Canis lupus familiaris: one gene and its partner. The protein of the gene in region 2 purifies or fractionates together with the protein of the main gene of each other region. This does not show direct contact. Links are inferred from orthologs where the notes say so. Each region holds a gene or a part of one and is shown on either strand. Other genes may lie near its edges.

The links.
Region 1: the proteins of CCNF (region 2) and RRM2 purify together in Homo sapiens (affinity purification with western blotting; 5 studies listed by BioGRID and IntAct, with this or other methods). This does not show direct contact. The link is inferred for Canis lupus familiaris from reciprocal best matches to the Homo sapiens genes CCNF and RRM2.

What each region holds. Positions count from the first base shown.
Region 1 is NC_049238.1:7,115,200-7,117,940, forward strand, and holds part of RRM2 (ribonucleoside-diphosphate reductase subunit M2), read left to right. Parts: intron 1-1,139; coding exon 1,140-1,234; intron 1,235-1,358; coding exon 1,359-1,492; intron 1,493-2,380; coding exon 2,381-2,485; intron 2,486-2,571; coding exon 2,572-2,685; intron 2,686-2,741. UniProt on the Homo sapiens protein: Provides the precursors necessary for DNA synthesis. Catalyzes the biosynthesis of deoxyribonucleotides from the corresponding ribonucleotides. Inhibits Wnt signaling.
Region 2 is NC_049227.1:39,028,836-39,032,650, forward strand, and holds part of CCNF (cyclin-F), read right to left. Parts: intron 3,659-3,815; coding exon 3,591-3,658; intron 2,571-3,590; coding exon 2,317-2,570; intron 1,980-2,316; coding exon 1,926-1,979; intron 1,544-1,925; exon of another isoform or gene 1,276-1,543; coding exon 1,171-1,275; exon of another isoform or gene 853-1,170; coding exon 775-852; exon of another isoform or gene 1-774. UniProt on the Homo sapiens protein: Substrate recognition component of a SCF (SKP1-CUL1-F-box protein) E3 ubiquitin-protein ligase complex which mediates the ubiquitination and subsequent proteasomal degradation of target proteins.

The DNA of each region.
Region 1 (2,741 bases), on a different chromosome or scaffold from region 2:
AGATGAGTTTAGGCACAGGACTGTGTGAGGAGATGGGTTTGCATTATGGGATCACAGAGGAGAAATCAAGGTAGCTTGAGGCCAGTTTTACATTTTCCAGATTGGAGAGGAGGAGAAAGTTAGAAATGGCCGTGTGAGTGGTCTAGATACCAAGGTCAACTTCAGGATGAGAGTCCTGCGTGGTACAGAAGTGATAGAGCTGTAAAGTAGGCTCTTGTGGCTTATCTGGAATAATGTGAAGGGGAAAAATGAGTGGTGGCTTGGAAGGGCTGGCAGGCTTCGGGAGACAAGTTTATAGACCGAAATGAGGAAGGATAAACGTAGGCCTGACTGAGATAAATAAACAGAATGGGCAGTAGGATCAGGAGGGTCTGGTGGTTCAAAAGCTAGGGAGAGGCAGACCCTGGTCTCAGGATGTCGACATGGAAAGAGAATGAAGAGAGCAATGTGGTTGCTCTAATGACCTTGGGTTCAGAAGACAAGGTCACCTGATAAAGGGACAGGCTGGGGAATCTAGACTCCCAAGCTGGGCACAGAAGGCGGAAGAGGATAATAAGGAAGAACTAGGCAAGTCGGGGGGACAGTTGATTTACTTTCCTGATCTGGGATCATCAGTGTAAGTATAGACTTATAAGTAGGAAGCAAGCTCAGATTATTCGGTTTATTGGCTTTAATTATTTTATTATATCCATATGGCATTTGGGGCCTATATAATTAGCCCGATATGATTAGTGAAGATGGTGCTACCTAGGAAGATAATGGTCAGCGTAGCTTAAATAGTCTTAGCAGTTAAGATTTTATGGCTTCTCAAGTTTAAAGATAGGGCCTGTGAACTTTGTCATGACCTGGACTTGATATAATAAAAGCCGATAAATGTTCTTGGTGTAATGGACTAAGACTTTTAAGGTTAGTAGATCTCAGGGCTCCTTGTGAAGTAAAGAATACCTATTTTGGTATTAACAGGAGCCAAATGAATGTTGGGATTTTAAAAAGAACACTTGGTGGGGGGTGGGAAGCAAAAAAGGTAATGAGAAAACATTTCAGTTTTGAGTCTCAATTTCGCCTTGGTCCCAGTGTTCTCTACATGTTTGTGGTAGGAAGTCTTTGCTGTAATTGCTGATATTCTGGGTGTCTCCTAGGGAATTTCTCTTCAACGCCATTGAGACGATGCCTTGTGTAAAGAAGAAGGCAGATTGGGCCTTGCGTTGGATTGGGGACAAAGAAGCTACCTATGGTAAGGCCACTTGGCCCCACGGATGCCTGAGTTTCATCCTCTAAGTGACATCATGGTTTGTTGGCCCTTCCTGTGCACATGTACGGTTGCTCACCGGAACCATGTCGGTGTTAACTCTTCACAGGAGAACGGGTTGTGGCCTTTGCTGCCGTGGAAGGAATCTTCTTTTCGGGTTCTTTTGCGTCAATATTCTGGCTCAAGAAACGGGGCCTGATGCCTGGCCTCACGTTTTCCAATGAACTTATTAGCAGAGATGAGGTGAGTCTAATTCAGGCTAATGTGCACCCCAAACATCTACAACTCTTTGGTTCACTGAAGGGAACTCGATAAAATGTTGCCTCATGTCCACATTGAACATGAATTCAGCCATATCTGGGCTTGGTAGAACATGAAATATATTGAAAGTACTTGTATTCTCAATACTCGTCCAGTCTCCTGTATGAGCCTACTGTGCTCCAAAGTTGGTCGATAAGCATCCTAAAGGAAGTGAGAATCCTTCTGGTCCAGTGTCCTGTCTTTGACTGCACTTGGATTAAGCTGGAGGGAAAGGCGAAGATGTCTAGATGCTCTCATTTGATTCTAGTTGGCAAAGCCAGAGCCACAGACCCTGTCATGCTTGGAGCCCAGTGACCAATAAGTTGATCTTGCTTTGTAAGTTCTTCCTTCTGATCTAGGAACATCAGGGTTACTTGGCACTAAGACTTGTAGACTCCATTCACTGGCAGTTGCATCACTGATTTCCTGACCATTAGGTTGTAAATCTCAAAACCAGCCAAGTCAATCTCAAAGCAGCCTAGTCACTGCTGGGAATAGTGGCAAAATGAGAGCTCACGGATGTAGAAAAAAATGCTTTGAGCTGAAGTCCTACCCTGTCCTGTGCTCCTGTATGGGGCAGCAGGGAACAGACTTGGCCTGCTGTCATTGCCCTGGGTAGCAGTGTTGAGGGCCTTGGGATAAGGCTGAACCTGCCGTGACCTACACAGAGCAGATGGCAGTTGAAATCCTTTTCCCTTTGACAGTTTTAAGTGCTTTTAGTATGTTCGCATGAGACATATGAGGAGAATGCAGAAAAGGGTAAAGCCATTTCCTGTTTCACGTTAACGATAGACGTCTGGTTTTATAGTGATCTTAAACCTTTTCTTCTAGGGTTTACACTGTGACTTTGCCTGCCTGATGTTCAAACACCTGGTCCACAAACCTTCAGAGCAGAGGGTGAAGGAAATAATTATCAATGCCGTTAGGATAGAACAGGTGGGTGATACAGGAGGGTCTCTTGTGCTCACCAGAAGAGGTCTTTATGCTTCTGTTCTATTGAGAAGCTGCGTTTCGATCCCTAGGAGTTCCTCACGGAGGCTTTGCCAGTGAAGCTCATTGGGATGAATTGCACGTTAATGAAGCAGTATATTGAATTCGTGGCAGACCGACTTATGCTGGAGCTCGGTTTTAGCAAGGTACAGTATTGTTTATAGCCTTCTGGTTCTCCTGAAACTGCTGTTCTGTATTTAAA
Region 2 (3,815 bases):
TGCTCTGAGCTTTGACCAGTTGTTTCTATTTCCTCTTTTCCAGGAGCACACGGAGACCCTTGGAACACTTACTGGAATGTTACTATTCTCATGTCTCCTTGGAGCTTCTGAGGGAACTGCACTGTTCGCAGTTCTGTCTCTCTAAGCTCGCTGACTGCCCTGGACATAAACGTTACTGTGTTGTGACAGTCAGGCTGGGCCACCTCCCGCTCTGTGGTTTCTTCCCTCACTTTTAGGGCAGATAACTCTCAAACACGCCCTTGGTGGGGCGACAAGAGTGAGTTTGCACCTGCCTGGCAAAGAGGGGCTGCCTTTGTCTTTTTTTTTTTTTTTTTTTTGCCTTTGTCTTAAACAATGATTCTTTATAGCTGCCACAGGACAGCGTCCAGAGACCACTGCCAGCAAATGCCTTGTGCCCTGGTTCTAACGCTGGGTGACCTGCTGAGCCGGTCAAATGACGAGAGCCAGGAAATGTTCCACACACCCATGTGCTCCCAGGTGCCCCAGCTACCGGCACCCTCAGGGAGCAACAGGAGGGCTAACAGCAATGTGGTGCATGGGCAGCCGGGCTGGCTTTGGGCAGGGGGCCTGGAGGCGCCAGGGTAAAGGGCAGAGATGAAGCACCCCCAGGCCGCCCTCCCTGCACACCCCACAGCTACACTCCTGTAAGCTCTGGCGCCAGCCCTGAGCCACTGCTACTGCCTATGAGTGGGATCTTGCCACCATGGTCCCCACGGGAAGAGGTAGAAGGAGAAAGGCCAGCTCCTGCCTTACCTGTGCTTCCCAGCAGCCTTTGGCAGCGTAGTCTCGGAGTTTCCGGAAGCTGTAGAGGCATCGCCCAGGATCTGACATCTGTCAGTGCAAGAGAGTCATCATGCTTTTATATAGTTGTGTCTCTGGAAAAACTCAGAACCAACCCATCAATTCTTAAATGTTCCTCCCAACATCCCCAGGGGGTCCACAGCTCAGCCTTCTTCCCAGCCCCTTACATCCAAATGACGGAGGTTGCTGGGGGCAGCCATTGGGAACGGCTCCTGCACAGAGGCTCCTGGGGCTCCAGGAGCAGCACAAGGGTCTCCCATATGGACGGAACCTTGCCAAAGGGCCCATTTGGAGATGGCACCTCTGGCCAACACAAATCCTCTTCTCCCCAGACCCCGGCCCACTCACGTCCGTCCTCCTGTCTCGTTCCCAGAGGAGGTATGAGCTGACCAGACATCCCTGATTAGCAGACTCTTCAAACAGGTCCTGGGCCTGCTGCTTCCGCTCTTCATCCTACAACAGACCCCAGACAGTGGCTTCTTTCACCCCGCTTTCTGCAGAACACCAGACTCTACTGGCCACTACCGTCTCTCCTCGGACCTCTTGGAATCACATTCGTGGGCTTTTCTCCTGACAGAGTTAACTAAGTCGGGAGTGGAGGGATGCCTGGGTGGTTCAGTGGCTAAGCGTCTGCCTTCAGCCCAGGGGGTGATCCTGGAGTCCCAGGATGGAGTCGCACATTGGGTTCCCTGCATGGAGCCTGCTTCTCCCTCTGCCTGTGTCTCTGCCTCTCTATGTCTCTCATGAATAAATAAAATCTTTGGGGGGGGTGCAATAAATAAATCAAGAGTGGAAACGACTTAAGATGTGTGCTTTGACCAGCACCAGGACAGCGAGCTTACGAGCTCTGCCCTCACAGGCTCCTTTCCTCCCGCATGAGGTTTGTGTCTGGCTGGGCCCTCCACACTGGCCCTCCCAGGTGGGATGTGGAGGTTTCCTCACAGGTGGAGCCTGCCTTTACACCCTGCACAACAGGAGGGGTACTGCTTCCCACTTACTCCCTGGTCCATGGTGTCTGGAATGGCCAGAAAGGTAGGTAGCACAGAAACAGAGTCCTGTGTTGCATGGTGGCAGGCCCACTGGACCCAGGGCGATGGACTCACCTCGAAGAGACTGAGCACTCTCCCCAAGCAGTGTAGCAGAGATGCTCTGTGAGTCTAGACGATAAGGGGGGTAGGGAGTGTGATCATCAGCAGAAAGGAAGCTTCCAGCCCATCCCCCTCCCCCATCCATGTGTTCTTGAGGCCCCCACCTGGCCCCAACCCCATACCGAGAGGCGCTTCCTGATTCCAGGCTTCCAGGAGCCTGGGTCCTGTGTTCTCAGCTGTCAAGGGTTTTCAGCCCAGCCCCTCTTATGATTCCCTGGGGAGCCCCAGCTCTGAGCCTTCCCCACCTGCTGACTCATCTCCAGATGCCCCCACACCCACACTCTTGACTTTCTGCACCTCCACGTTCCTCAAGCGCCTGGCCTTACACGGTCCAGTGTCTCCTCACCCTATGGGGCTCGGACCGTCCAGCATGCCAGCCTCCCGTGTGTCCCTCGCCAGGGCTTGCTCCCTGTAGCTGACACTCTGCCCTGAGGCTCTCGTGAACCACGGCCTTGCAGCAGCTTCCAGACACCGACCACGGAGGGCGGATGAAGAGCCAGATGAAGGGTGTGGCACCCACATTGAGTCGTTCAGCGAGGCTGAAGAAGCGAGAGGCTTTCAGGCCATTCACCTCTGCACGGGCTTCATCAGACACAGACACTGTGGAGAACGTAAGCCTGAGTTGGGTCCAAAGGACAGGTGCACAAAATTCCCCACAGGCTTTTGTGAAAGTCTACAACCTCACACAGTAAGAAGTTGTTAGCGTTTAATGAGAGCAGAGCCCTTCAAGACAGGGCTCCTCCCCCTTCTTTCCTACCTTGTGAATCACATGTCCCTGCCAGGTCCTCCCAGCAGCCTAAGCTGGGAAGGTCTGGGAAGGTGCCCCCCTGGAGGCGGCACACACGCCCCCACCCCCCTCCTGCTGGGAGCTATAGCCTGAACCCCTGCTAGTGGGTACAGTGTTTCTTTCTGGGCCAATGTTCCAGATGTGAATGGTGGTGATGGCTGCACAGCTCTGAACATACTAAAAACTGCCTGACTGTACACTCTGGACCGCTGAGCCGCAGGGCTCGTGAATTCTGTCTAGGAACCACTGTGTGACAGAGAAGCCCACTCTCTGGAGCCTGCAGGAGGACTGCTCACCATCTCTACTGGTCCCCACAATCCTGCCAACCAGATAGGAGCAGGAGCTTTCTCAGCAAGACACCAGATCTTTTAGAAACAGAAAACTAGCAGCCATCCCCAGTCTTTGTGCTTTTGGGGAGCTGGGACTGGACACACGCGGCCTGGTTCTGTGTGCTAAGCAAAGAGGCTGGTGCCGGGAGAGAAGGCCATGCAGCTTCTTTCAGGGACCACCTGGTCCTTGGGGGTGAAGGAGCTCAGGCACCAGGCTGGCTCTGACCTGCCTTCCCCTGGAGCCGTGGCTACTGCGTCATTAATACCCTGTAGAATCAGGCACCCTTTGACTGCTGTCCCAGTCAGCACAGATGAACTGTGGCCAAGGAAGGAGAGGGCCCAGCACCTACACACAACCTGCGGGGTCCAGTGGACAAGGGGAGAGGCATATGGCCGGACAAGCAAGAATAAGGACTGAATGGCTCCCACTGGGAAGGGCTCATGCCTGTTCTACGTGCTCAGCACCCAGTGGGGCAAGGCCAGCCCAGCCCCGCAAGGACTTACGGCCTTCATTGTAGAGGTAGGCTATGCCCAGCTTCACGGCAGCTTCAAAATTTCCCTTTTCCGCAGCCCTAGACAGTTAAAAACACAGCGTCACCTGATGTTGTCTGACACAGCACTTGAAGCTAAAACACTTGTTTTTTAACTGAGGATTTTTTAAATGTAACACAGTCATATACCCCTCAACCGTGACACCTGAACCTTAATGATGTGCCAAGCCAAAGAAGT